Schizosaccharomyces pombe: one gene and its partners. The protein of the gene in region 1 purifies or fractionates together with the protein of each later gene. This does not show direct contact. Each region holds a gene or a part of one and is shown on either strand. Other genes may lie near its edges.

The links.
Region 2: the proteins of spt7 (region 1) and hfi1 purify together in Schizosaccharomyces pombe (affinity purification with mass spectrometry; 2 studies listed by BioGRID). This does not show direct contact.
Region 3: the proteins of spt7 (region 1) and taf10 purify together in Schizosaccharomyces pombe (affinity purification with mass spectrometry, with the first as the bait; one study listed by BioGRID). This does not show direct contact.
Region 4: the proteins of spt7 (region 1) and sgf11 purify together in Schizosaccharomyces pombe (affinity purification with mass spectrometry, with the first as the bait; one study listed by BioGRID). This does not show direct contact.

What each region holds. Positions count from the first base shown.
Region 1 is NC_003423.3:3,258,802-3,268,647, reverse strand, and holds spt7 (SAGA complex bromodomain subunit Spt7), read right to left. Parts: upstream 5,379-9,846; 5' UTR 5,272-5,378; coding exon 4,698-5,271; intron 4,657-4,697; coding exon 4,457-4,656; intron 4,403-4,456; coding exon 4,364-4,402; intron 4,312-4,363; coding exon 4,210-4,311; intron 4,168-4,209; coding exon 4,029-4,167; intron 3,982-4,028; coding exon 2,738-3,981; exon of another isoform or gene 2,699-2,737; coding exon 2,555-2,698; exon of another isoform or gene 2,512-2,554; coding exon 2,297-2,511; exon of another isoform or gene 2,252-2,296; coding exon 1,930-2,251; 3' UTR 1,773-1,929; downstream 1-1,772. Other genes in the region: tan1 (tRNA acetyltransferase), read right to left, coding at 427-600, 653-796, 846-1,051, 1,137-1,293, 1,344-1,454, 1,562-1,633; chaperonin-containing T-complex eta subunit Cct7, read right to left, coding at 5,844-7,062, 7,230-7,653, 7,696-7,729; cdc20 (DNA polymerase epsilon catalytic subunit Pol2), read right to left, coding at 8,160-9,846. UniProt on the Schizosaccharomyces pombe protein: Essential scaffold subunit of the transcription coactivator SAGA complex. SAGA acts as a general cofactor required for essentially all RNA polymerase II transcription.
Region 2 is NC_003423.3:3,575,947-3,583,752, forward strand, and holds hfi1 (SAGA complex subunit Hfi1/Ada1), read right to left. Parts: upstream 3,774-7,806; 5' UTR 3,510-3,773; coding exon 3,293-3,509; intron 3,251-3,292; coding exon 3,024-3,250; intron 2,973-3,023; coding exon 2,873-2,972; intron 2,755-2,872; coding exon 2,279-2,754; 3' UTR 2,087-2,278; downstream 1-2,086. Other genes in the region: SPOM_SPBC887.17 (transmembrane transporter), read left to right, coding at 86-1,963; Man5GlcNac2-PP-Dol translocation protein Rft1, read left to right, coding at 4,389-5,972; his4 (imidazoleglycerol-phosphate synthase), read right to left, coding at 6,149-7,654, 7,761-7,806. UniProt on the Schizosaccharomyces pombe protein: Component of the transcription coactivator SAGA complex. SAGA acts as a general cofactor required for essentially all RNA polymerase II transcription. At the promoters, SAGA is required for transcription pre-initiation complex (PIC) recruitment.
Region 3 is NC_003423.3:2,250,856-2,258,167, reverse strand, and holds taf10 (SAGA complex/transcription factor TFIID complex subunit Taf10), read right to left. Parts: upstream 3,167-7,312; 5' UTR 2,967-3,166; coding exon 2,319-2,966; 3' UTR 1,942-2,318; downstream 1-1,941. Other genes in the region: SPOM_SPBC21H7.03C (multiple inositol polyphosphate phosphatase), read left to right, coding at 133-1,524; SPOM_SPBC15C4.06C (ubiquitin-protein ligase E3), read left to right, coding at 4,762-6,432; dhx29 (ATP-dependent RNA/DNA helicase), read right to left, coding at 7,159-7,312. UniProt on the Schizosaccharomyces pombe protein: Functions as a component of both the DNA-binding general transcription initiation factor complex TFIID and the transcription coactivator SAGA complex.
Region 4 is NC_003424.3:1,369,613-1,376,998, forward strand, and holds sgf11 (SAGA complex deubiquitinating submodule subunit Sgf11), read right to left. Parts: upstream 2,859-7,386; 5' UTR 2,696-2,858; coding exon 2,669-2,695; exon of another isoform or gene 2,433-2,668; coding exon 2,106-2,432; 3' UTR 2,062-2,105; exon of another isoform or gene 2,009-2,061; 3' UTR 1,866-2,008; downstream 1-1,865. Other genes in the region: mug10 (Rho guanine nucleotide exchange factor), read left to right, coding at 567-782, 846-1,664; F-box/WD repeat-containing protein Pof1, read right to left, coding at 3,454-5,271; protein mug15, read left to right, coding at 6,975-7,335.

The DNA of each region.
Region 1 (9,846 bases):
TTTTACAGATTTCTGTAGGACCTTTACGCGTTAAAATTAACGTTATCAAGCTTTATTACTAAATTCGTTTGCTTTATTTGGAGATAATGTTACGTTTAGTTATCGTTTCACAAACGTTTCAAGACGCTTATTTTACATTACTTTGTAAACTCAATATCAATTAGTTCGTAATCATATCAAACATCCAAAATATAGTTTTATCGTGTGTTCTCTATTTGAAGACTTGTATGATGACCAATAAGTTCGGCTTTCAATTGTAAGCGCAGATTCCCATTTTCCCTAATAATTCGTTGTTGATATTGTCGTAACCTTTAATTTCATGACAAATCTTTAAATTTTAACGAAAGAAATTTATACGCTCCTTCAAATTAAAATTCTCTAACATAAACGATGATCCCGGTGCCTCGGTTAATATGTAGAGCTCTCTTACTCAGCATGTTCGGCCTTATCATTTATTATTTGATTCTTATCGCGATCGAAGTTGTCTAACTTAGAATCATTAGGGATCGACTTGGTATTCTCCGGTTGTTTATATACTTCATTCAAATTGAAGCGTCTCAACTCTTCGAAATTTTGTACAATACTTATGCCAATTATATTCTAAATTTAAAAGGATTGTTAAATGCAATTCGTTGCAAGCAATGAAACGTACCTTAATCACTTGGACTAAAATAAGCAATTTAAAGTTCTTCAAATCTACCATATGTTGCTTTCCAACGATTCTAGCAACAGTGCGATATATATCATCTTTTTTTAGGACTGTATGATTTCGGATATTGGCTTGAACAGCGAACTCCTGGAGTTAGCCTATTGTATGCTAAAGCCATATATTATTGCTAACTTACCTTAATCCCTTCCTGGCCTTCATGAAATAACGGGTCAATCAGACTTTTAGCAAGCTCCTCGAGATCATCCAGGGAAACGCCAGTTGTTCTTACAATCGGTATCAATCGTTGTGTATATCGAGTCATTTTTTTGGTTTTCCCAACTTCACAAGTAAACTCTACAAGACGCACTGGATCAATTGGTGGCCTTGTTTTTACAAAGTAAACTTCAAAAAATTAATAAACGGTCATAATAATTCAAATACGAATAAACATCTTAAACTTCTAAAATTATACTGTTTATGCACCTACCACAAGGCATATCTAGCATAATTGGGGTTAACAGTTCTTTTTTGTTCTTTTTTTGGAGACTATTAATCTCCTTAGCAACTGCATCTTCTAATTCCTCGCCTTCTTCTTCGTTTTCTTGATCACTAGATTGAGTTTCTGGCCAAAGAGTAGCTATATGCTATTAATCATCAGTTTACGCATCCTTAACCTGACAAATGTCTTGCATACCTGAGTAAAAACATCAAGAATCTCAGACGATGATTGTCTTTCTTTACCGCGAGGAACAGTAACTAAAACACCACTTTCATTTTTTTCAATCCCTGTTCTTTTGTACTTAAACTATACTTAATAGTTAGCTTTGTTTGATAAAGATTCCTTTCCTTTTTAAAAGGTCGCTCACTGCTGTTATGAGCGTTCTCGCGCTTTCCCATTTCAGTATGTGATACTTCAAGGTGAAAGGTAAAACTCGTCTCAAATGAAATAATTAGGTAACTTAATATTTCGGACAATGCACTCATAATTAGGTTAAATGTGTTGCTAGAGTAATTAATAAATAGTTATATGTTAGTGATATTATATCTTTATTTTGCAAATTCAAATTGCCATTCGGACCCCGATTTTTCAGACATTAATAATTACTAAAGAACACATCAGACATAAAGCCAAACCAAAACTAGAACCATTATAATTATTACTAAAAGAAACTTTAAACTTTTTTAAAGTAAAAATTATGTTTTAAAAGTTATGTCTCCATTGTGGTTGATACACATCTATATACTAGTTGTTTTTGACGTTATAAATAAATACATATGGCCTATTCTTCAGGAAGAGTAGTTACCTCAGTACCTTGCTCATTCTCCTTTAGGCAGCGCTTTTTTCTCAAGGATTGATTTAAAAAAACTGACGAAGCAATTCGCTTTCTCCCAGTGGTAATCTTTCCGTTCGGAGGTAGACGCGGTCGCGGAGGTTTGCTCCTTGGCCTTATGTCTTCATCTTCCAACAACTCATCCAAACCGAATTCCTCTAGATTCTTCTTTAAAAATCCTTGAATCAACCCGATTTCGTTAGAAATACTTTCGGCGGTGATGGGAGGATATTTTGGAGGTGGAGCGTACTCTTGGTCACCCTTTATCGTTCTGAATGAATTAGTATCAAATCTTTCAAAGATATTATAAACATACGCTTCGGGTTGCCAACTCATATTCGACCTCAATCTGCTTTGTAATAAATGCAATGGAACCGATAGTGAATCTAAGCCAAGTTCTCTATCTAAACCAAGTTCCCGTAGACCAAAGAAATCATCACCAGTCTCATACGAAAAATTTCCCGTTACAAACGACTCTCCATTTTGGTTAAATATCGCTTCTTCATCATTGCGCTCAGAAAGTGCAGGACGCTAATCCGGTTAGTAACACTACTTAATAAGGAAATTCGCATACCAATAACTCAACAAAATGCCTTTGAAGACGCTGATGTATTTCTAGCAACTTCACGCTTTGGCGCTCTACATCATGATACACATATGAAATTAAATCATTCACATCGTCAACACCTAATTCCCCTAGGGTTTGTCCAACAATTTCCTAAATTGGTCAATATAACTGCATAACGTAATTAAATACCTGTTGAGATTTGTCTTTCCCATAAATGAGATACTGGTCCATGACAGCACCCATTTTTGCCATGTAATCAGCCGCTATTTCGGTCAAAGCATCCAGTGCTCCCATTTGAAACGACTCAAATCCAGCATGGAATAATATAATGGTACAAAGCTTTTTTAATACATCGTGCGCCAATGGTTTAAAGGAGGACATGTTATCGTAATTTTGTGGGATATCCAAAAGGATGGGTTCATTGTTAGCAAACGGGACATGACTTTTATGATGTTCATAATAAAATGGCTGAGGAAGCTGTAACTGGCGAACTGTTTGGATTTTATTACATAATTTCCGAATTTCTTGCATTTTAGCAATATTTTTGTACATCAACGAAGGTACACCAGGTGTGTTGCGATTAATTTCAAAAAGAGAGTAGTCCCTAAAGTATAAGTCTTCTTCACTTTCAGTCTCCAAGACGCTACCAGCGGTCATCGGAACGCCTGAACCCACATCATACTCAAGTAATGGGGTAGTATCTAATTTCATTATTGGTTCAAAATCACCTTTATCCATAGGTAAACAATCTATACTTCCATAAGCAACTTCTCGATCTATAAAAGCTGACATTGCTGTTGGCTTCCGAATCATAGGTAGTTCAGTCTCAATAAATTGTAAACTTTTTAAAATCCGCCGATTATTTAAGATATGGCTTTCACGAATATCCTTTGTTTTGATTTTCCAATATTCAGTAGCAACGTCAGACAAAGGTTCTTTTTCTAAAGTGTTAGAACTCTCTATAACGGCCGCTTCATTGACAGGAGGTGTTGAACCGCTAACAGCAGGAGGTTTAGAGGTCTCAACTTCTTTCTTTGTAACAGGAGTATTGTTTTCTTCGGGGCTATTTGCATCAGTATGAACTTCAACAGCTTGTTGCGTTTGTCCGCCCCTAGAAGATGTCTTTTTAGAAGTGACATGTTTTGATGTCTCCGCTGTTGATTCTTCATCGCTTTCAAGCTCTGCTTCAATTAAACTATCATCGTAATCCTTACGAGATTGTATTACTATATCAGGAATGAGGTTTATTAATTCCAAAGACTTGTCTTTCATAAACTGGGCATGTACGCGCAAAGGGTGGTCGGGATGTGAATTATACAAAAAGCAGTTCGACCAAATTAGCATTAAATCATGAACGAATTCTTTTTTGCTATTATAATGTAAATTTTTTAAGTTCCTTAAAATGGTACCAAGGTCCATCGGCTCCTTAATTACTACAAAATGTTAATGAGAATTTTAGAGTTATTAGAATCACTCTTACCAGTATAATAATCAGGTGCATCTCTTTTGCTGACCTTGGTTAGAAAAGCCAAAGAATGCTCCGTATATGATCTAAGTTCCAGGACCACTTTTTCTGCTGCTTCATAAAGCTCTTCTTGACCAATTCTTTGATCATTCGCCTAGAAAACATTAATACAAGCAAAAAAATAAAACTTAAATACCCATTTTGATTTATTTTTTTTAACATCGGATAACAATTGCTTCACATCAGCATCGGTGGCATTTATTTTACTTCTATTTCCCTCCAAATATTGCAGTAGATACTAAGTATTAGTTTTGGTTGACAACAAGATTAGAAAGTGATTAAAAGTATACCTTAAATGACGAGGTAAGTGATCCAAACTTTGAATTAAGCTAAATTTTGTTAATTAAAAGGAATTAAAATAACTGATAAGTTTCATAACGTACCGATAAATTATCAGATAAATCAAGAGAGGATGAATTGTTTTGAAAGCTGGATGTATTAGGGGTTGATGTGTCTTCCTCATCTTCAAATTTTTTCACTTCATTGATATTTTCAGAGTCATTTTCTAAAGTATAGTACACATAGTTGAAACTAATATTGCTGAGTGCCTTATTTGATTCGATGGCTGCAAAACCAGAAGTATCTAAAATGTTAGTATATAAGAATACTTAAGGGATGACTTACCCATATCATCTATATCGACAGATTTCAAATCTATAATGCTTTTTCGTAATGATTTATCCTTTTGAAGATCCAGAGTAATGGTAGCTTTAGACGAGTCTTCGGCATCAGATTCATCAAAATCATCATCATCAAATAGTTGTCTTCCAGTTGCTTCAGACTTTTTGGCATCTCCCTTCTTTCTTTCTTCTTCCTCGGCCAACGAAGCTTCTAAGGATATGTTTTGATGATCAACATGCTCAATAGATCCAGAACTTGTGGAACTTAAATCAAATAAAGCTGGATTTATTTTAGCGTCAAATATCATACAACGACAGCGAAACAAAGTAGTAATATCTAAATCGTCTTCCTCATCATCGTTACTGCCATTCGAGTCTTTTTCATCGCACAACTTATCCCATTCTATTACATTAATGAATCGGTTCCATAGAAGAGTGTCATTTAGTATAGAAATATACTTCCTTTTTTGTTCTGGGGACAAATAAAGGCTCCAATAATCATTTTTAAGCAGCGCGATTGCAATGTCATGAAGAACAGGCTCATCCAACGACTTTGAATCTTCGAAATTAGTCTCCATTCAAATTCTCCTTCCCTATGTATAATAGTTCATAAATGACGCGTGATAAATTAAATTAACAACCACAATGGATAAAAAATAACACTTGAGATATGTGAAGGTTTCATACTCGTTTGTTTCGCTAGCGTCGGATATGGATACACAGCGATTTCCTGAAATATGTTTAACGTACTGTAACAATTGAAAATAACGATAGAAATGAAGCAATATATGTTCTGTTTACCATTTCATACCAGTATACTACTATAAGTTTTCGAACTTAAAAAAAGATATTTGGAAGGTATCAAAGTATCACATATAAATCCTTATAAATTATGAAACAATTTAGTAACTTTTAGTAATCACTGTTCATATAATATCGCAAAAGTGAGTGAAGTGACAAGAAAATAATCCGCGATGCAGAACAATATTGTAAGTCGTAGCTAGCGCTCATAAAGATAAAATAGCTAATTTAGAACCAATAAGTACATTACGCCCTGTTTATAGGTAGAAATTCAAAACGAATTGTCCAACCAAAACAAAAAGTGATTTAATTGATTTTATCTAGATAGAATACAATCCTAGAAAATTTATTAGCGGGGCATTCCTCGACCTCTACCACGCATAATCCTATTAGCAGCGCCAGGAGGTAACGCACCCTGTGGAGCTTGAGGTTGCTGTGAAGGTTCATTTTTAATAGTCTCGTCAACGGACAGAATTAGAGTAGCTGCCTCAGTTGCTGATAATATGGCATTTGATTTGACGGTGCTAGGCTCCCAAACAAACTTCTCAAAATTGTTTGCGACCCCTTCGCTATCCATATCTACACCAGCCCACATTTCACCCTTGGCATGTTGCATACGGAGTTTATTCAAAATATTTGTTGAATCGAATCCTGCATTATCACACAGCTGACGAGGGATTACTTCCAACGAGCGAGCAAAGGCAGCTATAAAATTCTGTTGTTTACCAGATATAGTAAGAGAATAATCACGGAGATATTTAGATAACTCCATCTCACAAGCACCACCGCCAGCGACTACTAAGTTATTTTTTAACGCATGTTTAACAATCATAATAGCATCATGTAACGAGCGTTCCACCTCTGCAATAAACTGATCAGCACCGCCACGAAGAATAAGAGTGCAAGTCTTGGCCTTGGGACAACCTTCAAATAGATTGAAACGATCACCACCGATTTGACGCTCCTCAAAAGTATCACAAGTACCTAGGTGCTTCTCCTCAATATTTGAGCAGGTAGACTGGATGGAGCCGCCAACTGCTTGTACCACACGATTTAAATCATCTGCAGCAACCCTTCCAGCACAAAAAATGTCACGATCCGCGAAATATTGGGTGGCCAAATCACCGATGGGCAATTTTGACAAAACAACTTTCGCACCAGTAGCGACAATCGCTTCAAGTTTGGAAAAAATGATACGCCATTCAGCATCGACGATATTCTGGTATTCTTGAACTTTATCAACGCGAACTTCAGCATTGTCTTTCTCGGCCTTTAATTCCAACTCAACGTCCAAACAAAGAATTTTGGGATTCTTGAAGAATTTTGGCTGTTGTTCAAAACCAGCATACGAAAATGTCTTTTTAAATGCAACGCCCTTAACAAGAAGTGAATCCTCCATTGCTCCTCCAGGGACTTTTTTAATACCAATCATGTTTTCATTCAAGTCTTCTTGATCTAATGTCAAAACAGCATCAACTACCATCTTTGTAAAAAAAGTAGAATTCGAACGAATAAGCTTTGAGTTCATTGCAGTAGATGCGCATTTTGTTAACAGATCTCGTAATTTTCTGTAAAGTATTAGTAAACTGAACAAATATAAAATAACTAAAAATCCTTCTAATAAGTAATAAAAAAAGTATAGCGAAAAGCACCAATAATAAACTTTACAAAACTTATTCTAAGCAAGCTAGTTAAGCAATGCCCAGATAAAAATTCTATAAATTAAAAGTCTTACCCTTCGTCCGATAAATCCAAGTGAATAGCAATCTCTTTAATCTTATTCACAGCCAACTGGGCAGCTTTACGATAACCTCTTATAATAAGATGTGAACTAACTCCATCTTCAACAAATGTTCTCGCTTCTCTCAATAATTCGCCAGCGAATACAACGACCGAAGTAGTACCATCACCGACTTCCGCATCTTGGGCTCTGGCAATATCAACTAGCGTTTTTGCAGCAGGATGGACAATGTCCAAGAGTTTCATAATAGTTGCGCCATCATTTGAAATTACAACTTCTCCTCTATCGTCAACCATTAACTTATCAGCGCCCAATGGACCGAGAGTGGTTCGGATCGTGTCTTGTACAGCGACACAAGCATTGATGTTCGAAAGCAGTTGACCCCGTCCTTGGGAATCATCCGTACCTTCCTTCAGTACTGCAAACGATTAGAGATACTTTCATCTGCATACAAACTTACCAATGACAGGAATTTGAGGACCTCCAAGCGACATTCTATTTCAAATACCCAAATTCACTTGTATTTGGTGCTTGGCAAAAATGAAGTTACAGTTTTAGGTGACTCATTTGGCGTGTTATAAAGAATTATCGTTAGGATCCACTAAACTTGTAAACAAAAAATTATTATTAAACTACAGTAACTGTGTGCATTTGTACGTGATTTACTAACTGAATTTATAATATTTATTCGAACGTTTAAGAGCATGAGTGGAAAAATGGTAAATTATCGAAAGAATGTACAATATCTTCCAAAAAAGCATTTAGGATGCGTAATTATCAAAAGAGAGATGCTTTATTAAAAACATATATGCTGCTATATAAAAATAAATAAATATGACCAGCAGCAGATAAAATCAAAATAACTTATAAAATACATATAAAGACAAAAAAGCCAAACTCATGCTCATGGTCAGGCGAGAAATGTTAGTTCAGCACAGAAAGTATGGACTGAACAGAATTTTGCAATATAGAAAACTCGTAAAAATCAGCAACAGATTGATAAACGTTTAACATTTCACGAAACTTTGTAGGTGAAAGCTGTAATACCCATTCTCCGCTGCATGAACAGCGTTCCTTTAATGACCATTGCTTAACTGTCTTACATTTAGAACAAATCAAATCTTGCAGTTGATATAATGTCAATTGATGGTATAAGTTATCCACCAAAGTTTCCTCAAACACCCATCGATCGTAAACTAAGTTACAGCTGGAACAAGACCATCCGTCAGAAAACACCAAGGTCCCCATGTCATCGCGAGTAGGCCATAGATGCTCATGTAAACAAAGGTCAAAATCCTGATGGACGCCACACTGCTTACAGGGTATTTGATCAAGTGAAAGTCGACGACTAGGATATCGAAATACCGCCTGAGTGGAAAACTCTTGAATTTGTAAAAGTGACAATAAACTCTTTTTTAAAAAACGGACCTCCAAATTGAGATCATGGGAGAGTTCAAAAACAGCACAGATGCTTTTAACCAATTCTAGAGCGCCATCAGTATAGTTAAGAAAAGAACCTGGCAACTTTGGAAATTTAAGATCTTCTCTGGTATTTTCATCAAGCTGAAGCTCTTGAAAACATCTCCTTACTTGAGCAACTTTCCGTTTAAGAGGATGTATCAACTTACTTTTTAAAATTCCCGATCCAACTATTTCAGAGTCCTCATCAGCATTGTTGTTTTTCACGCGAACAAACCCAACTTTTGTATTAGACTTTTCTAATTTTTGCTTATAAACCTCTTCAATAAACTCAACAATCCAACTCTGAAATTCGGGCTGAATGATTGGAGGTAAATGACTTTTAATGTGCCATGAAACAACTGTCTGTGGTTCTTCATTTGTAGCTGAAAAATTTGCTGCCACCATTTTTCCTCCATAATTAACGGAATCCATCCATAAAAGATAATCCCAGTATTCCGTGACATTTAGATCCAAAAAGTGAAATAGTGGTAACGTCTTAATGGATTTGAGTAAATAATTTGAATAAGTGACAGCGTTCTGGACGATTAATTTGCTCGTTTTGATTAATATTTTATTAGCAGAAGCGTGTATGATATGTGCTCCAAGGCGTTTTATCTCAGAGAGAAGTTGTAAAAAAGTTTTTCTCATTATAACTTCCACGTGCGAGGAGAGTAAAGGACTGTACAGATAAGATTTTGATGAAGAAATCCATCGGGCTAAATGTTGAATTATAAGATCAGCGAGATTATTACCGGATGCAGCTTCGTTCCACCAAGTTTTAACCAACGCCTTCAACACCGGCAATGAATGTGTCAGTCCAATATTATCATGTATTCCCAACTTTTCCTCCAGATCATCATTTATGGCGGTCATGTAATTATCATTCAAAGCTGCCATGTCGCCAATACCTTCTATGTCATTTATGAGAGCAGAATTGAGAATGCTACAAAGTGCAAGGTTGGAAAGAGAAATGTCAACACAAGCATTTGAATAAGCACCAGGATTGTTAACTTCTAGTGGATCTTTGGGACTGGCAATCTGCAGAATACTATCCTTCTCAATACCACCTAAGTCTGGAGTTGGGCCTTTATTCCACCAAAGGATAATATTATGTTCTTTCAGCTTTCTAGAGTAAACAACATCGATACTG
Region 2 (7,806 bases), 320 kb from region 1:
TATATACATATATTATAAGTATTCTCGTTTTTATTGTTTTAATATTTCAATCCTCTTTTCTTTTTTTCCTTAGTTTATCGAGAAGATGAGCATCACACAAAAAGTAAGGAATTGGGTCGAAGAGTTCGACGTGATCGTCGCTCGTTCGGCATTCGGACGTTGGTTTCGTCTAGAGGGATGTGGTCATCCTCGGGAGCGTAAAGGCAGTCGCTTTTCTCTCGAAATTAGTGCTGGTCTTACTACCTTTTTTGCAATGGCTTACATTTTGGCTGTCAATGCTACCATTCTCGTAGATACGGGCGGCACTTGCGAATGTACTGAAGCTAATCGTGATGATTGTGACAAACTTGATGACTATGTACTTTGCAAAGAAGACTTTCATCGTGATCTCGTCACAGCCACCGCTGCCATTTCTGCTCTCGCTTCTTTCTGCATGGGTCTTTTTGCCAATATGCCCGTGGGTATGGCCCCTGGTATGGGTTTAAATGCTTATTTTGCGTACCAAGTTGTCGGATATAATGGCACTGGACGTGTTTCCTATCGAGAAGCTCTTTTAGCTGTTTTTGTTGAAGGATTCATCTTTACTGGTTTAACTGTTATAGGTCTACGCCAATGGCTGGCGCGAGTTATTCCTGCCTCTTTGAAATTTGCTACTGGTGCTGGTATTGGTTTGTATCTCACAATTATCGGACTCAGTCCAAGTGCTGGGTTAGGAGTCATTGGGCATTCCTCATCTGATATTGTCGCTTTAGGAGGATGCCCTCCAGAATACCTAAACGCTGATTATAGCTGCAACGGTCATCAATTACAATCAGGAAGAATGTGGGTAGGTATATTCTGTGGCGGTGTTCTCACTGCTATTTTAATGATGTACAAATTTAAAGGTGCTGTCCTTGCTGGAATCGCACTTGTCACTATCACAAGTTGGCCTAGACGCTCATTAGTAACTATGTTTCCCCACACGCTTACAGGGGATTATAATTTTGATTTTTTCAAAAAGGTTGTTAGCTTTCGAAAAATTAACCGTATTCTTGTTGCCCAACAGTGGAACGTTACAGGCGGTCAATTTGCCATTGCACTGATTACTTTTCTGTACGTTGACATTATGGATATGACTGGTACACTTTACTCAATGGCTAACTATGCTGGTTTGGTCGATCCTCGTACTCAAGACTTTGAAGGATCCGCAGTTGCTTACATCGTCGATGCTTTAAGTATTTCTATTGGGTCACTTTTTGGTTGCTCACCTGTTACTGCTTTTATTGAATCCGGGTCTGGTATTTCGGCTGGCGGTAGAACAGGGATTTTAGGTATGGTTGTAGGCATTTGCTTTTTCATTTCTCTTTTCTTTGCTCCTATTTTTTCAAGTATTCCAGTCTGGGCTACCGGTTCTACATTAGTACTTGTCGGCAGTATGATGATGAAGAGTACTACATTGATTAACTGGAGTTACCTTGGTGACTCCATTCCTGCTTTTATTACAATTGCTTTGATGCCATTTACCTACTCGATTGCGTATGGCTTGATTGCCGGTATTATTTGCTACGCTCTACTAAACTCCATTATTTATGCTATTGACAAAATGTCACGCGGTAGACTTGTACCGGCTGACTATAATCAAAAAGAAGCTTGGACATGGCGTGTCGAGGGGGGTTTATTGCCTCAATGGGTACGTCGCCTCTTTAAGGGTAACCGCAGATTTTGGGAAGATCCTGACGACCGCAAAGCTATGGACAATGCCACCTTAGAGATGGCTACTAGTAGATCTTATTCGGAGGACGGTAAAAATGAGAAAACTACTCATGAGGACGTTACAATGAAAGAAACATCTTTAAAGAAGATGGACGATGAGCGCATTTCTGTTGACGAAGCTGTTGGCGAAAGTGAAAGTTTCAGTAATAGACAACAGGATTTCCGGACGCCTTATGCTGGCATCGATATGGATACTGATGATCGTATTTAAACAGTTTTTACTAATACTATATTTTAGCAAATCTTGAACAATAATAGTATTCTGTCGGTAAATCTTGCTGGATAATTACGTATTTTAGAATATCTATATTGCTTCATCTTACATATTTCGCAACCTGTTATATATTAAATTCATTACTATAAATTAAAAAAAAAAAATATGTGAAAAAAATCTAACTTAAAAGGATAATCAAGTCTTGTATATTTGCGAGCTGAAACGCTTGAAGAATAGCCCTTGAAGCTTTTAAGATTGTAAATAAATAAAGCACTTCTGACGATTAGATTAAAAAAAAAAGAACCTCCGCGGTTATGAAAGCACTTCATCTAAAAGGGAAGCAACAGAATTCCTATCACTTTGCGCATCATTGCTTGCAAGCATGTAGCTTGGCGATTCTGCACAAATTGAAATTTCATCTTCAGTATAACTATCATGAAGCAAAAACGGCATTCTTAACTTCTGTGGATACTGTTCGACAAAAGCATGAGGTTCAATAGTCCATGCTAGATTAAGGTCATTAATGGTAAAACCTGCCGCATCATTTTCAGTATTTTTTTGTCGAATATTTTTGTTTAATATAGAAAAGCATCTGCTTAGAATGTTCTTTAGATGGCTTTCTAACCCAGCCAATATAATATCAGACACACCCTTTTGTACACCACCCAATAAGCCATTTTCAAGAGAAATAGCTGTAATTCGTTCTTTTAACGATTCTGAATCTGGAAGTTCAAGTGTTTCACATGCTAGAGGTGCAACATAGCCGGCTTTAATATCATTTACAAATACTAATGAGGTTAGTGAAAATATTACCCAAATTGTGGTTAAAAGGAAATTTCCGTTAATAAAAATTAAATGGTTACACTTTTGAATACTTCCTTAGAACCTATTAAAGAATAGGCTTACCTGAATTCAGCTTGTCTCGGGATACAGGAATTTTAGGTAATTTTGCAATTCTCGTTTCCAGCAGCAATCCTGAGATCAAACTTGGTGTAACTGGCTTTTCCTAGATATGTTTGTTAGAAAGGTGATAAAAAAGACTTATAATAAAGCCTACTTTTAAAGCAGTTTTGATCCTAGCCCGGTCTTTATAACTTAAAGACATTACTATTCGCTTGATTAATCGAACCTGTGCATTCTGCGAACTAATTTTTTTATGTAAAAATAAACTATTATCGACTTTCTTCCGTTTAAACCAAGGTAAATGATGTAGAGCACTAAAGGTATCATTATTTTTTTGCATCAATTTGAGAATATGAAAAATGATTGAATTGTGTAGTTTATCTAAAGTGTCAGAACAATATTAAATAAAAATTTATATCTTACCAAAATTTGATTTTCCAGCGAAAGTTAACAGCATCGACTTCATTTCCTTTCTGCTCAACTGTCCAATTAAGAAGTCCGTCATTGTTTTAGTATACACCTCGAAACTGCTACCCAAAAGTGATTGCATCTCTGAGATTATTTGCGAAATTACTGTGTTGGGTTTGTGCCCATTCGAGCTAGCGCTTTGAACTTTTTGTACAGTAACTCCTTCTGTCATTTTTCTAGTACAATTTAATCATCAAGGTCATCAAAATAAGTTTATGACAAAAAAAAATAATAGCAGAATTAAAATAGAAAGCTTAATCGCATAAGTCCCAGTATTGGTGTAAAACACAAGTAAATTGTTCAAACTTGTAGCTAAAAAGCAGATGCAAAAGTAAAGCTAAGTACAAATAAAGAACCTATTTTTTTTAATAGAAAGTTGTCTACAAAGGTTCTTAATGAGTTTCAAACAAAAAACTTTCAGACTTAGTAGAATGATGCCTTAAACTAGAAGTAGTCCAAGTTATTACATGCCAGCAATGCTTAATTTACGGTACGCTTCACTAAACATCAAACACTCTTCAGCCTAAAAAAATTTTAGTATACAGTAATAATCATCTGTATATTCTTGAGTATCTGATTTACTATTAATTATCTAACCACAAAATTATAAAATAGGAAAACGAATTTTAATTGTACCTACGTCCTTAAAATCAGTCGTGAAATGGGTTTGTGATTATTATACTTATGGAAGTTTAAGGTAACCTGGTATTAACAGCATATGAATTACAAGCAGTAGAAGCTTACTGTACTTTAACGCATCTTTAATACAAATATGGCTGTATAGCCGGCGGGTTAAACATGGCAACTCTACTTCGTTAACTCAAGTATATTGTAGAATTCCTTAATGCTCTATGTTAGTAATGTGTCCTGAAAAGTTAACTGCGCGCTCAAGAGACACCCATTTATGCGCCAAATCCACCAAGTAAATATCTCATTTATAAGTTAGAATACGAATTACATAAAAAAAGTTGGGACATTAATGGAAGAAAGAGGTAAACAACTATTGACTTGTAGTATAATTCTTTGAATCTAGATCAGTACCAACTAGCTAATGGATAAATCTGATTCTTTGCTGCAGTCGTCCTCGAAGGGACTGCGCTCCTCCATATTTTTTCAAGGAAGTTCGAGAATATTGACTTTCTTCTTAAACCAACTGACCATTCGGTTAACTAGTCCTAGCGCCTATGCATTTTCTTCTATTCATTTTGAGATATTACAGAGTACGATCCTTTTCCTCAGCAGGGAGTCGGTTCGATTAGCTATGCAAAGAATTCCTTCGGAAAATGCAATAATTACCTCTACTTCTACTGAGTCAAACAAATCAAAAAAATTAAGTGATCAGTTGCAATTGATCAAGAATACTTCTTTGATCAGTGTTTACATTGGTATCGTAATATCGCTTCTGGTTTCTTTATTTTACTTCTATTCACTTCCTAATTTTCCTTATTCTAAAACATGTATTTTTATTTACACCGTTTCTAGTTTCATTGAGTTGCTATCTGAACCATACTATGAAGTTCTTCAATGGCGCCAGAAGTTCTCCAAGACTGCTTCAGCAGAAGGACTTGGAACAATTATTTGCTCTTTATTGTCCTTTGCAATTTCTGTTTTAGGAAGGAATAAGGCACCGTCAAGTCTTCCTTTTGCCCTCGGTAACTTGTCAGAAAAAGTAACCATTTTTTTTACTTTAAGGTATTTTGCTAAACAGCCATTCTCCATATTTCTCCACAAAGTGGGAGAAAACGAGAGGTATATATTTTGGGATAGTTCTACTCTTCGAATAATCTGTTCACATACTTATCAAGTGTTGTTAAAACACCTAATCACAAAGGGCGATAAGATAATGGTAGCATGGTATGCTTCTCCTTCTGCTCAAGGTCCGTATGCGCTAGCTTCCAATTATGGTTCTTTATTGGCGAGAATCGTGTTTCGACCAGTAGAGGACCATTCTCACATTGTTTTTGCTCAGTTAACGCATTATAAGAACAAAAAAGATGAAAAAAAGGCTTTAAATTTGTTGGCATGGATTTTAAAATTATATTCTTATATGAGTTTGTTTATCCTTTTTGGAAGTAATTACTCGGACATTGTTCTTTTGTTTGGCGCAGGAAGTAAGTGGGCTTCTCCTGATAGCTCTAGCATTTTATCTTGGTACGCAATGTATATTCCGTTTATGGCTGCAAACGGCGTGTTGGAAGCATTTTATGTTTCAGCAGCCAACTCTTCTCAGTTGTATGATCAAGGGAAGTGTTATTTGGCTTCCGCTGTATTTTATTTTATTACTGGAAAATTCCTTCTATCATGGTTTAATTTAGGCTCTCATGGATTAATCCTTGCAAATATATTAAATTTATCACTGAGGATATGTTTTGCCTTACGGTTTATTCTTCACAATTATAAAGATTTTAGTCTCCCGAGGTCTCTTCCTAGGCCTTTTTTGCTAGCTCTTTCAATTCTTTTGTCTATTATAAGCAGCTTCCTCGTAAAACATTGGAGAGAATCTAAAGTCCCCTTTTTGGTATACTTCCTGTCCGCGCCCTCACTGGCCATCTTGTACAGTTGTTTTATAATTTTAGTCGATAAAGACGTAAGAGGATATGCAAAAATTCTGCTGAGTAAATATTACATAAAGTAATAAATACTACTCTATGTCAGATAGTTTTAATAATCTGGATAAAAATTTATATTATCCAAAACAAATTTTATTGGCATATGCAATTTCAGTGCACTATTGACATCTAATTTAGTGCTAAAAGGGGAAGGAATTAGATACAAATATTTTTTTATCGTAATTCAGACGGACTTCGCTAGCTAAGTGCGAACCAGAACGTCGTGTATTGCCAGATATTCTTTGACGTCTTCTATGCGACAAGTTTGTCGATGAAAAATTCCGGCGGCAAGAGCTGCATCACAATCCGTTTCTTTAAATACTTCTTCAAAATGTTGGGGAATACCAGCACCACTTGAAGCTATTACTGGAATATTCACAGAGTTTTTAACAAGACGAACAAGTTCTATGTCATACCCAGCATTTGAACCGTCTTGATCCATACAATTTAATAGTACTTCACCAGCACCCATTGCTTCACAAGCACGAGTAAGTTCAACAACATCAATATCACGATATTCACGACCTCCTTTAACGGTGCACTGATACCAACAATATGCTTCTCCATTAGGTCCAAGCCGAGATGTTTTCACAACATGGTGTTTAGTATCTTCAGGAACTTTTACATACTGACGTTTAGGATCAACCGAAATAACAACTGCCTGATTACCATAGGCCTTAGAAATTGTTTCTATAGCAGTTTTTCCACTCAATTTCTTCCCATTTTCGTAATACTTTTCTGCGGCATAAACGGCGTCACTTCCAATAGATACTTTGTCGGCACCTGATCTAAAGTAAATACCAGCAACTTCGACAGCAGGATGAAAAGTCCCATCAGGATCTGATACATCTCTGATTCCACCACCTACTGTTAAAGGTACAAATACTGTTTGAGCTGCCTTTTCTAAAACCTGTAACATAGGTGCATCGGCCATTGGACAATTTCTAAATGAAGTGATGTTCAAAAAAACGACTTCGTCAGCGCCTTCTTGAAAATATCTTTGACATAACTCCACAGGTTTTCCAAGATTTCTAACCTCGCTTCCAGAAGATTTTTCACGGACATCATATTGATCACCTTTTGTAACTACAAGGTCACCAGCGTCGTTGGAACGGACATCTAAGCAAGCAATAATACGCTTTGTTAATCCGCCAAAGGAGTTCTCTATAAGTTTAGATGCTTCACCACTTATAGGTTGCTCATAATTACCGGTTAAAAATGCCTTTAAACAACGCAAACCTGCAGATCCACTTTTTTCCGGATGAAATTGGGTAGCTAAAAAATTATTCTTTACAATAGCACCTACAAAGGTTTCATTTCCATATTTCGTGGTAGCAATTTTGAACTCTGGAGGAAGGATAAGTCCCTTTTCTGGAATCATATAAGAGTGCACAAAATAAAATTTGTCATGTGGGCGCATACCAAAAAACTCTTTTGAAGTGTCAGATCGTACAGCACAAGAATTCCAACCAATATGAGGGACGGTCTTGTCATCGTTGTCAAACCTTTGGACTAACCCCGGAAATACGCCCAACCCTTTAGAATGTGGTGCTTCAACAGACCCCTCGAATAATGCTTGGATTCCAACGCATACAGCCATAAAAGGTTTGCCAGACAAAGCATAGCGACGCAAGGGTTCTAAAAATCCTTGCTTTGCTAAGGAATCGCATACGAAACCAAAGTTTCCAACACCAGGAAAAATCAAGCACTGAAAGTATAGATTAGTATTTGATGAAAACGAAAAAAAAAACCGATTTGACTTAGCCTTTATAATGTAGATGGTAACAACATTTTTAAAAACAATAATGACATACTTCAGCTTTTTCAATATCATGGGGATTCCTGATCCATTGTGTTTCA
Region 3 (7,312 bases), 1.0 Mb from region 1:
GGTTGAATGGACTGTCACTCGTTTTAATCAATTTCTTACTTTGATCCTTTAATTTTTCTTCCTCAAAAGCTCTGCTTTACTAATCGAATAATTAAGAAGGCCTTTTACTCGTTTGGCTGATATATTTTCGTGATGCAGTTGTGTATCATTTCTCTCTGGTTCTTAGCTGCGTTCATCGTCAATGCCGATAATGTTCAGTTTGAGGATTATGAAAGCAATTTTTTCTTCAAGGAACATCTCGGAACATTAAGTCCTTATCATGAGCCCTACTTTGATGGTCTTGATTCTGCTTTCCCTGAAACCTGTGAGATCCAACAAGTTCATCTTCTTCAACGTCACGGTTCCAGAAACCCAACGGGCGATGTAACTGCCACTGATGTATATAGTTCACAATATTTAAATAATTTTCAGGAAAAGCTTTTAAACGGCTCAATACCCGTAAACTTCAGCTACCCCGAGAATCCCTTATGTTTTATTAAGCAGTGGACTCCTGTAATAGATGCAGAAAATGCCGATCAACTTTCCAGCCGTGGTCGTCTCGAACTTTTCGACTTGGGTCGTCAGCTATACCAGCGTTACTATAAACTTTTTGATTCATACGTTTACGACATAAATACGGCTGAACAGGAACGTGTTGTTGAATCTGCAAAATGGTTTACTTATGGATTATTTGGTGATAAAATGTACGAAAAAACCAATTTTATCCTTATTTCTGAAGGTAAGGCAGCAGGTGCCAACTCCTTATCCATGTACAACGCATGTCCCGTGTTTAAAGATAATAACTTTCATAAAAATGCAACTGATGCTGCCCATGCTGTATGGCGCAATATTTTTATTGAGCCCATTGTGAATCGTTTGGCTAAATATTTTGACAGCAGTTATAAACTTACGATCAATGACGTTCGTAGTCTCTTTTATATCTGCGAATATGAAATTGCTATAAAAGATCACAGTGATTTTTGTTCCATATTTACCCCATCAGAATTTTTGAACTTTGAATATGACTCAGATCTCGATCAGGCATATGGAGGTGGTCCTGTTTCCGAATGGGCTTCAACCTTAGGTGGGGCCTATATAAATAATCTTGCAGACTCACTTCGTAATGTGACTAATCCCGACTTCGATCGTAAAGTATTTTTAGCATTTACTCATGATTCTAATATCATTCCTGTGGAAGCTGCTTTGGGATTCTTTCCTGACATTACTCCGCAAAATCCTTTGCCGACTGATAAAAACATTTATACATACTCCCAGAAAACTTCTTCATTCGTTCCCTTCGCTGGAAATTTAATTACTGAGTTGTTCTTTTGTTCTGACAGCAAATATTATGTACGGCATCTCGTCAACCAGCAAGTTTATCCCCTTATCGATTGTGGGTATGGACCTAGTGGAACTTCTGATGGACTTTGCGAGTTACAGGCTTATTTGAATTCACCGATTCGGGCAAATTCTACCTCTAATGGTATTTCCATTTTCAACACAGAATGTCAAGCGCGTCCTACCAACGTTACCATTTACTTTTGAACTATCAGCGCTATAATGTTTAAATAAACAGAATGGATCCTTTGAATAGGATAAACTATAATTTATTATAATCAATTTATTTAATTTTGGGTAATATTAGACTTAATTAAAAGAGGAATACCAAGTACTTTCCTTCCTACAATCAAAACAAGATGTTTGCTTGTAGGAACTGATAATCTTCCTTTGCCAGATGAAGGCAGTGATTTTTCTTGAGAAGTCTGTATTTGTTTAAGGTTTCAAGCATTACATTATTTGAAAGAGTACTGGTAACTGTAATTATATTAATTTTTACTTTATATACAATGCATATTATAATTAGAAGCATGTTAGGTTCTGACATACTATGAGGCAGCTGTCGACCGCGTAATTGACACTTTCAGAAGTGCTTTTCAAAATGCAGATAGTAGCATAACGAAGAAAACATTTACTACATCAATGTTGAATGAGAGTATCAGTGTAAAACAAATTCAGCAAGTGATAGCGAGAAAATAGTAACTATGATACATATGATAAATTTTATAAAATATAAAGATAAATAATCCCTCATATGAAAACTACTGCTGAAATGGATCGATATGAGAAAATGTTTTGAAATTATGATCATCAACAATGCCACGCCAAACCGAATGTGCTATCTTCAAAATACATAATAATTTCAAAAAAGTGTAAAAGGTTAGAATTAACAACAATTAGTAAACAAAAATTTTATAGGAAAATGAGATTTCAGAAACAAAGTTCCACTAATGCATTAAGTAAGGGTCTCACACAAGTGGCCTTAGTGGGATAAAAAGTCTTTAACGGAAGAAATCGGGCCTTTTCAAATTAATTCCATATTCATTAAGAGCGGCACTTAAGTCATCTACAGTGAGCACGGTTTTTCCACGGTCACCTCTTCTTCCGCTAGATCCAATCCCGGAAGCGCCTCCGGCTCCAAAATTCTGCGCACCAAACGTAGTTGAAGATGCATTGCTACTACCGGTTCGGATTTTAGAATATTGATAGGCGTCTTGAGCAACATCAGAAATAAATTTTTGAGCTGTAAGACCAAGAAGCTTTTTTAAGCGTGGGTCAACACATTTAAATCCAGATAAACTGAGGTAATAATCCAATAACACATCTGGAATTAAGGGAGAGTAATCATCCATTTGGGCCAAGAAATTTTCAAGTGTTTTGTCTTTGGCCATATCTCGCAATTCTAAATGCGGTTCTATAACATAATTCGAGCCATGCCTTTCTCTAGAATCATCGCTTTTGGGAGAATCCTCGTTATTTAAATGTGCAGGGGATTCTACACTCATTGGGGCGAGATTGTCACCAGTTGGCAGATTTGTGGAAGACGTTTCGGGTTGTTCATCAACACTCATCGAATTATTTCCATCTTCTGGTTCTTGCTTGGGCTGTTCAATATTTTCAGCTGGCTCATTATTGTTAATGTCACTCATTCTTTCTTTATTTGACCGATGTTGTAAAGCAAAGAATGTCTTTCTGCAACTTGATTCAAATCCGTGGTTCCTTGATTTATCGTTCGACTTATTGGAAATAATAGGAAATTTATTTCCCTAGCTTATGGACTTAACTTTTAATACTTTAATCCAGTGTTTCAAGAAACCACTAGGCCAACTAAAATAGGGATGGTGGAGGTGGACTATATTCTGTATTCGTGGTAAAGTAGCATTGTTATTTACGTATATAAGGGCTAAGATCGAAAAGTAAATAATTCCAATTCTTGGAATAATGCTAGTTGAATAATAGAAATTAATATATAAGATTAATTAACTTCTGGTAAAAAGTGTTGTTTAAAATCGGTATTATATAGAGTTCGGAGCGAAGTTGGTATCTACTACAATTTTTGCTTCTATAAGCAAATGTTCAGTTTAGAGTTGAATGGCAGCCTTCTTGGACTTGAACATATGTATTCAAAAGTAATTATTATTCTCAAACTACAATGTTATTCATTTGCTGAGATGAGCATTTTAAAGTTTGCGCAAACATGACTTCCAGTTAATATGTGTTTAAAACAAATAAAAAAATTTACTACGCAAAGAAAGGATATTTGAGATTAATTTGGTGCACATTTTTTATTTCTCATAACAAACTACATAATCCATTTCCCCATACTTTACCAATAATGTATTGCTAAGCCAGATCAAAGCTACATTAGATATCACTACTAATTATTGTTATTTTCATTTCAAAACTGTCGGATCCATACTACTGATCTTTAATGATCAGGACGAGTAAAACATCTTTAGGAAAATACAATTATTGAAGAAATATCTCAACCGAACAAACTACCCTTTCCTAGTTCAGTTGTAAGTTAATACAGTAAAATATAAAATTATATAGTATATTATATCTTAGCCTTCTTAAACAAATATGTAACCGCTGTACTAAACGAACTCCATAAAATTATACTAAATTACGAGGTAGCATATCACAATAATTATATCCTTATACTAGTTTACAAAGTATACTCAAACAACATTAAATCCTATAACGTATTCCTAGTAAATTGCTTCTTATGTTTAAGGAGGATATCTTATTGTTTAATTGATCGCTAAGCGATCCTTTTTTTATTTATTTATTATAGTTCTCTCTGATCATTAATTCTCCAGCTATGCTTACCTTTTTGAAGTATCACTTCTTCGTTTTTTTATTTCTTATAATTACCATTTATTATTATTTAGTTTCTCACACCTGTTTAAAGCGCTTGTCGAATCACCAAACACAAATAAGCTGTTTTATTTCACGATTGTTTTTCTCGCCCTGCACTTTATGCTTTGTTTGTTTCATAGTTTTTCCTTCATTAAAAAACTTCTTCACTGAAGTATACTGCTCATAGTGAAAATATAATAACAATTGCTTTCCACATGTATATCACATGTATTGTGTACTATGTACGCAATATGTCTCAAGATGTTCATTACTTAGCCACCACCAATTTGTGGTTTTCAAGCTTGAGCTAGTATAAGTTAAAAGAATCACACTTTTTACTTTCTAATTTTTTGAAATTTCCTTTAAAAAATTTCATTAATTGTGTTCCACAATTCCTGCTTTAGAGATATCACCACTCAACGTCTGTTTATTGATTGAAAGCTTACCTTTCAATTACCATTAAATTTGATTCATTATTTAGAAAGATTGGTATCAAAGCAGGTTTGTTTTTTGGTAATCTTGAAACCTCCTGTTTCCTAGTTCTTTGTGTTTCTTCGTGCCTTAAAGTTTGTTTAGGTTCTTATGCATCTGTGTAATAACCAGTTGCTTGATCATCTGGATTGCAATGCAGTTTACAGAGGCTATGTTTCACAAGAGAATAAGGTAAAGAGGAGAAAGCGGCTGTTTAATGCAATTCGTAAACTATGGAATGAAAGAAGGCGATATCGAATGCCAAAGGACGAAAGTATCTCGCCAACTCCAATCTCTTATTCATTTAGATCATTAAGAAGAGGCCATACTAGTGGGCATGCTAGTGAACACACTTCTTCTTCAAGATCTAGTCATGATGAATCAGATTCTATGTCCAGTTCTAGTGAATCAGACTCGGATTCTGTTTCCAGTGAATCAAATCCCAAATCTTATTCAGATTCTAGTACTAGTTCTGCAAGGTCGTCCTCTACTTCTGGTTCAATCTCCTTGTATGATGATTATTACCCTGCTTATTCCAGCAATGCTCCAAATACTGCAATATCTAATTATGTTAGCTCTGGTCTTTCATATTACGGAAATTCATCTATTATTATGAATGCTGTCGAATACAATCAGTTCTTTCCGCTAACCATAACTACTCTTATTGTTAAAAACAACAAGAATGTTGTTTCAAATCTTCCAAAAAATGTCTCATTTTACTTCCACTCTGACAACACGGTCCTTTTGAATGAGTATTACAAAAGCTTGTCTAAACTGAAGAATAATTTTCGTGGAATTATATATAAAACTACTCCTTATGGTAGCTGCAATGACACCGAGTCACTTCAAGTTGATACCAAGGGAAGCGTATGGTTTAGAGATGTTTCTAATATGGGAAGTTCTGGCTTAATCGCATTCGCGCCGTTTGACTATTGTGCTCCAATGCATGTATTGCAGGCTGTCCAGGATAGAGCAAAGGCAATACTATTTTATAATGCAAGCACTGCTAGTAATTCATTAACCAATTTTGACCACTTTGAAGATGCTGTAGATATGATTACCTTTGAAACATTACCAATGGCACTCATATCTTACGAAAACGGCATCGCTTTTGAAAAGATTCTCAACGAATACTCGGCTTCTTCTTTAAATTCGGTGCAGGATGGTGGAGCATTAGTCGAATATTTTGGAAACATTGATGCTACGGCCCGTTTGGGCGTTATCATCAGCAAGGAACCAAAGCTACTTGGCCTCTATATATTCATTGGTGTGTTATTGGGTTTAATCGGTGTCATAGGCCTTTTTATTTGCCTTCACTTTTCTGGTGCAATGAATGGATTTTATAGACTCTTAAATCGTCATGGAATTCCTGTTCAAGAAAGAATTGTGAATATTGGACCAAACAAACCAGAAAATCGTGTTACTAAAGAAATGCTCGATACTTTGCCCGTTAGAATGTTTTCGGGGCCTCATCTTGCCAATCCTAATGATGAGTTGGTTTATGAAAAGGATTGGAAATTAGACAAATCAGAAAGTTTTGATGGACAGGGAAATGTGGTTACTACAGCCGAAAGAGGGAGTAAGTATTTCGATCAGAGGGAGTGTACTATTTGCTTGTGTGAGTATTCAGAAGAAAGTCCTCTTTATCGAGAACTGCCATGCCATCACATCTTTCATCCGGCTTGCATTGATCCTTATTTATTAAAAAATTCGGATCTTTGTCCCCTATGTAAACAGTCAGTTACAAACATGTTGGAAAATGCTTCCGAGGACAATGTTTAAACTGCATATTTATGAATTTTCTCCATTGGTTGAGTAATTCCTGTACTTCTACTCATAAGGATAATTTTTTTTATAATCTATATTAGCATATTTTGTTCGACTCTCATTCATTTACGTTATAATATTTTGCTTGTCTTTATACGCATACGCATACTCATACTTATTGTTCAGTTCTTCCTACGACGAAGAAAACTTACGCTTCCTTAAGTTCATAATTTTCTTGCATCTTTTAATGGGCTAATTATCTATTTCTCATCGTTCTAATCTATTATTTGTGTTATCGTATGAATTCTATAGTACTATATAAAAGCTTACTATACATGTCATTGTTTACTATAAAAAGTTTAATACACATGTTGCTTGCTAGTTTATGATGAAGGTACAAAAAAACTATTAAGTATTTTACAAATTAGCCGGTCTAATGCTAAATTGCATATGTAAATATTTTTTTCTTTTCATTTAGAGACCTATTTTGATATTCTAAGAAAACGATATACAGTTATAATAATTGACATTTTTGGATTTGAGAAAATTAAATACTCTGAATTGTGTCTCATAAAATAGAAAAGCCATCAGTTTCTGCAATGAAGCCTTAGATAACTCCATTTTACACATTTATGCTCAACCAACATAATTCTTACATTTTCCAAATGGAAAGAAAATTTGCCTGTCATTAAGCAGATATGTGAAAACCAACTTTCTGATATTTCATTTTTGATACTTTCATTAATCTTTGAGACGTTTCTGAAATTTGGTTCCGTAATTTAACCGTGAAACTATGTTAACAATAACCTCAAGATGGGAATTCAATAAGCGTTTATCAGGTTCAGCAAAAAATTCGTTTAGAGAAGTTTCAATAAAGCGACGTAAAATACTTAAA
Region 4 (7,386 bases), on another chromosome or scaffold:
AAATAAAGTCCAATGCATAAAAACGGCATGAATCCTTCTCTTTTTTATTTAATTCTTCTTTTAATTGTTTACGCCAATTTGTGTGATCCATAATTAGCAAATTATTTTACGTGTTTTAACGTATTACGTTATAATTGTAATTAAGCAAATAAATGATATTTGTCAATTGAAGGTTCGAATGTAGTGGTCACGGAATACTCACAAGCATGATAATAATGTTTTTTAAGGTCCTAATATATCTAATTGACCTTTCACAGCTAGACATATCAACATATGACCAAAACTTAGCTTCATTCCTCAAGCGGGAAACATTCATTAACTGAAATTGTCCATGAGAAAGACTTTTTCTATTGAAAGATAAGTTTGAAAAGGCTACAAACTTTAAATACTTTTAATAAAGTAATTTTATTAACTAACTATTCCTTTGCTTACTTATAGATTTAAGATACTAAGCCACAGTTACGCAAAATTGGATAATGAACTTTAGTGACATAGGTTTTACACTGAGTAGTTGACTTTGGAGCGTGTTATTTACATGCAATTTCCTAACACGTTTCGCCTGGAGCATGGCACTTTTAAAAACGATGCCAATCATAAGGTCTCTAACGCGTGGAAAATCGATTAGATTACTTCAAAAACAATCAACGAAAAGAACTAATCCGTGCGTCTATTTAGAAGCAAAAGCTGTTGAACAAACACCGGCTACTGAGTTTAACAGTATACTTCAGGAAATAATTTCGACAGAATACAATTACTCTGTTGATTTAAAGAAAACATTAAATGTAACGATTACTATAGCAAATATTATGCTCGTGTTTACTAGTTTGTGATTACTTACATTTTAGGAAATTATAATGCCAATCGAAGGCCAAAGTATGGAAAGGGAGGCGATTGGAATTTGCACGTGCTTTAAGACTTTAAATCAGTTACACACGAAGTTATATCAACAAATGATTTCCAGTGGCTCTCCAGTATATTCATTGTCGCAATCTTTACCCGCTTTTCGTGATGTTTACCACATGTATACCATCAATTTAAGTGGAATATCTGCCATTGAAAAAATAATTTCTGATCCTTCTTCGTGCAACAGTCAGCTTTTAATTCCATTGCAACACTTGTTGAGATATCCTATACATTTAGCACGTGTTTGTAAAATGTTACGGAAATATCCATTTTTGAATGGAGATTTTCGGATGGCGGTCAAAACACTTGACGATTTTCGAGAGTTATGTTCTTATATAGACCAAGAAAAAGCCCGCGAGGAAAGTTATCAAGTACTTAGTGCACTGTGTGGAAACCAGGGTGTTGCGGTGGACATTCCAAGGCATATAAAATTTAAAGGGTCAGTTATTCCAGCTACTTCATTTATTTATGATTTTAATGCCTGCGTCTTTTGCGACGATGGATTGGTTGTTTGGACGAGGTATGTTAAAAAAATCGAAATGAAGGCCGTTTCGATAGAACAATGTCTTCGAGTAGATGAACTTTCAAACTCTATTTTAGTTTGTACTTTAAATATGAAGGGGAAGCTTTTAAACCGTCATTTGGCACCTCAAACTATGGCTGCTTCTGTTTTTCTTAAGTGGTATCATGAAAGAGCTGGTATCTCAAATGGCAAAGAAAATAAATTAAACCGATTGAAAGTTGTCAATGCTAAAACATAAACTAATTTCTTTCTTTTTCTTTTTTTAATATTAAACGATATTTTTTTTCTATTATTCACTCGTTACCTAAAATTTGCTGAACATAATGACAAATATGTTAAACCAAAATTTATTGTCAACTTACTTCTTCATTCTTGTTATCCTTGTCTTACCAACTTTGAAAGATATTTTCCTCAATTAAAAATTTACTTCTCACCTTCGTTACCTTAATATGGGCATTATTATTAACCAAATAGTTTAAATAATATCTTTATCCTTTAATAATATTTATTGGTAATTCTTGTTTACAATTCCTCGTCTTTTTATTGAAGTGAGAGTCTACTATATATGAGTTTAATAACTAGCTACACAAGTTAGCAAAATAATATTGTAGTTCGTCTTACTGGGAAAGACATACATGTGCATAATGAGAATAAACCTTAAAACAAGCAACAAATAAAACTAGTCCTCTTCGTCTGCATTGTCATCTTCGAAAAGAGTTGAGTACGAGGTAGCGTTTGAAAGTGACCTGCCTTTACATTTCTCTAAATGTGCAGCATATCGAGACGCAGCTATTTCACGCTTGCACATTAAACAAGAATAATAAGGGACATTTGAAGGAGTTTGGACGCTATTACCATATATATCGTAGCCTGGCTTGGTACAATACTGCCGACAATGCTTGTTACAGGCCGGACATTTTTGAAGAGATAATTTAGCATTCTTGTGGACTGTTTGGGTCAATTCATGGGTGTAGTCTTTCAACAAATTCTCAAATATAGTGCAAGACTGATTGAAATTTGAAGTTAGTGAAAAAGTTGTACAAGTGTTAAATTCAGCCACCTATTGACAATTGTTTTTCTATTAATCTTCCTTTTGTCTTTAAAGTACTACAATTTGACATGTTAAATAAACCGCGATCGATTAAATGATACATGCTTTCATAAACAAGCAAATCTTTTTTTGGCGAGGAAGTTTAATTTTGAAAGGAAAAACAATTACACATAGAGAAATCAGGTACTTACAATACCGGCAAGAGAAGCAGGCTGCATCTTTAAACCATTCTTTGGGAATCAAAAGTTGAGTATTCCAAGCAAGTTAGTATTGTTACAAAGCCGGTGATTCCAAAATTTCAAACAATGAGGAAAAAGATGCAACTGATCCGTATGGGAAATTGAGATTTACAGAACGGAAGTGCTTCAAATTGATGTCTTTATTATAAAAATTATTAGGCTCAAATACTTGGTGTTACATCTTTAGCTTGCGTAGGAGCTGACTTTATTTGCTAATAGTGAGTGTTGATATAATTTGCTAATTTCATACTTCTCTGACTCCAAGAGCAATGCAAAATACACACGCTCATGAAATAAAATATCAGTAATCCACTTGCGCAATTGGAAAAAACAACGCCTACAACATAGTACCTAAGTTTCTCCCTTTTACAATTCATCAAATCATACATTCTTCAGCTCGACTAAGGATAAATTGTATTCATTAAATACATAAAATGTTAAAAGTCATAAAATAATTCGCTAGTAAATTAAGCAAAAGGCTAAACTGTATGCCGGGATGCCATCAATCTCAAATGATTTAAATAATACAATACAGGCAAGGATATTAGAAGTAGTTTTTGATTATAGACAAAGTGTTTGTTACCAAAAAAGAGCCAAATTTAGATATGGCATTTTGGCAACCCGAGCAATAAATAAAGACATAGCTTCGAATGATGAAAAATGAAGGATATACAAGCGAAATGCCGAAGAAAAAAAGAAATAGACACAAACAAAAAGGCGATGCGATGTTGGGGTAACTACGATTGAATCGACACATCGTCATTATTGGCATTAGAGGGTGGGATATTTAAATTTCTGGTTGAGATATTGGATAACGAGGATGAGTAGTTGGGTACTGAAGAAAGAGCTCGTTGCACACTTGAATTTGACCTTTGACCATTAAGGGAAGATATCGGAACAGATTGTGTAGATACTGGAGATTCATTTGGAGCATTATTGAAAAGCCACAAATATATTTTCCCATCTTCAGACCCACTGACTACCTCACAGTCTCCAAGAGCAACCGAGGTTACAGGCTCCGAGTGATTCTTCAACGTGTGAACACATTCACAAGCCTCCCAAACTTTAACAACACCATCATGAGCTCCCGAGATTAAACGAAGGTGATCTGCCGCAATTTCCCATACACCTTCAATGTGTCCAAACAATGTATGAACACATTTTTTCTTCTCGATGTCCCATTGCTTTATTGTGCCGTCCAATGAGCAAGAAAACAATCGCGAATCAGCAAGAGCTAAACTCTGGACAGGGCCAATATGAGCACTGAAAGTATGAAGACACGTGTTTGTTTCCAAAGACCAAATCTTGATGGTGGAATCGTCGGAACCGGAAAGAACAAGTCCACGATCTCTAATTATGCGGACAGAATTGACAGGTCCTGTGTGACCGCGTAAAGTGATACGCTTACCGCCAGAAAAGTGCCACAGCTTAACTGTACAATCTGCGCTTCCAGAAACAAGTAGCGTAGAGTCAAACGTTAAGCATAAAACACTATCCGTATGACCATGTAAAATAGAAATGCATTCAGAGGTTCTGTAGTTCCATATACGAATAGTTTTGTCCATTGAACCGCTGATAAGTTTACACTGATCGAATTGAAGGCACGTAACACCACTGCTATGACCTTCTAATAGAGCAACTTGTTGAAAGGTAGCAAGATTCCATAATCGTATAGTGGCATCATAACTGCCGCTAGCAAGAATGTTCCTTACAAGTTGTAGACACATAACACCGTCAGAGTGGCCACTGAGAACAACCTGGCGACAACGACCATGCCGCCAGTTGCATTCAACTCTACAACGTTCAGCATATACTTCTTTCCATGGTCTGGTTTTAAAGGGAAGAAAGAATTTGGAATCGGAGTTCGGAGAAGGTGGTTTGACAGAAGAAATAGTCTCTTCATTACTCGACGTCGGATAATCGTCCAGCTTTGCTTTTTTGACGGGTGAAGATTCATGAGCCTGATCGACGCCTCTTTTTGTAAGTCGTTCATAACGTTTTTGTATGGAAGCCTTTGCTGCGTATAAGGTATTTCTTTCGAGTAACGGAAGTCCCCAGCCGCATTTTTCACATTTTCGATTAATATGTTGTTCACACATCCGATGCCATATAACATCATCATCAGCAAGTTCTTTCCAATGTTTACTGACTTGTGCAGCTTGGCAAAGGCTTCTAGCATCCAAAAAAGATAAAATGCGAAACGAAATTTCAACAGGGAGCAAAGAGAGAAAATCTAAGCGTACTAGAGAATCTAATGTGCTGGAGGCAAAAGAGAGAAGAGAGGACGAACAGTTGTTTAAAATGCCTTGCAAAGCGAGTTTACGTTCGCTGCAAGAAGCCTCTGAAAAAGCAGCCCATACAGCTTCGACACGTTGACGACTTTTTTCGCTTAAACCAGACAATTCATTATGCATTGAAGAAATATTAAAAGCCGAAACGGAGATGGATTGATCACCTTCTTTTTTTTCCAGTAAATGGCGTTGCCATAGCTCTGCTCGTGGTGCAAGATTATCAGAGGGTTCGGAAGTGGGAACAGATTCATAACCTGTAGTCATTTTTTTTATAAAGGTTAAATATTAAGTATGAAAAGAAAGAAGGGACAATGCAAAGGTTGATTTTAGGGTAAAAAAAAATAGAGTGGATAATAGCACAAAAAAATGTTATCACGGATGATGCGGGTAGATGTTAACAGAATGAAACCAGAAATGATTTGGATAAGATGATAGTAGTATAAAAGACTATAGTAATACAAAAAAAAAGGAGAAAACTATATGAAGATTGTAATAATTATGATAAGCGGGGAAAGTCAACTATCGAACCTTACAAAGTAATTTGTAAGTAAATCGAAAATTTAAAGTGCTAGCTGATAGAAATATATGGAAACAAGAAAAAAAATTTAAAAAGAGACACAAACTATGTAAAAGATAAACGAAAAAGAAACTAGAAGATCAAATATAAAATACACACAAACTCGTTGCTTTGGCAACCTTCAGTAAAAAGATGAAGAGTTGAGGTAGAACCAAGATTTTAATGATTCAAAAAACTCCAATAATACTCTTTATCCAACCACTTGATTATTCCAAATATGTGTATTTTCTTGAGGTGGCTTTCGATGAGGTTAAGGAGGAGAGGATATAATATAGAGAGGATTGTGAGGCCTAAAGACTAATAATCACCTAATGAATTTGAGATTTTGAGTAGAATTGCGAGATGTTAAGCGAATCTCAAAATTACGAATCCGAAGATAATGTGGATAAAACAAATTGCAAAGATGTCGTTCTATTCGTCTCAGTATATATATGTGCGTAGATCATTAAAAATCTGTCCACTTCTCAGTTAATGCAATTGATTTCGATTAACCAACTATTGCGCAATCTGCCACTCATATTGAAAATTTTTACTGATCTGCAAACGTTTAACAGCTATTTTCCACTAGATTAATAAAAAATAGCCAATCCTCACAAGTCGCACCTTTTTCGGGGATCGGGGGAAATGTCGCTGAAGGTGTGAAAATGCAAATTTTCTCGGATGTCAACAGTTTAATCAGTCGCTTCAAAGTTTGTATATTTCTTAATTTTGGTGAATTTCCTCCATATTTCTTCACTTTGTATGGCGGCAATGGAGCCGTAATGCTAAGCAAATCGTAATTGAGTTTGTAATAGCTAGCATCAGTTTAAACTCGAATGAATTAAGTAACCGCTTATATATTCATAAAAACTTCTAAGTAATTGAGCTAGGTGCGTTTATAGGGATGATTATTCGCTCAGAAAATGATTAAAACACTGCTCAACTTGTTCACCTATATATAGTTGTCGTAAACAAAGCTAAATCGATGATTTATTACAAGAAGAAAGAATACATGATTTTCGGTTAATCACATAACATGAACAATATTGAAGAAGGAAATAGCGATTTATTGAGCCGCTGTTTTTTTCATGAATACCGGTTAACATAGATTTTTAAGTATAAATAAAAGGATAATGACTAGCGGTTTCATTGTTCATCTTTGATTGAATATTGTTAATGTCACGTACGCGTGAAATATATAAAGTCGCCGAGGAATATGCATATAGTCTGCATATACATTATTTTGAGAACATATATTAATTTAAATTGTTTTTGTCACAAATTCAATATAATATTCTATGCATAATTAATTCATCAAAACGACTGTTGACCTATGATTTGCCCTTAATGTTGACTGATTACAAGTGATGGACATATATTAACCAAATATTTTTTACACAACTAAATAAATATGAACGTTGGTGATTTGAAAAGTGCCAATGACTTGTATGAATCTGTACGCTCAATAGAAGGAGTGACTGGTGTCCATTTATTTCGAATAAGAGATGCAGGCATTTTGAAGAGTACTATGATACCAGAGTTAGACGCGTTAACCACAATTAGCTTGGATGAATTAAACAAGTCTCCTACCGTTTTCACTAAAAATTTACTTCAAGGTTGCGGTGGAACTGATCTTGATGTGCCAGCGGAATTGAAGAGATTGGTGATTTTCGTATGCAACATTTTGGAATCCTGCAACGAGTTCACCGATTTAGGCTCAGCAAGGTTGTTACGATTGACTTTCGATTCTTGCCAACTGGTGATTATGTATGGTATGCTAAACGCCCGAATTTTATTTTATCTTATTTTTTAAATAAAAAGCG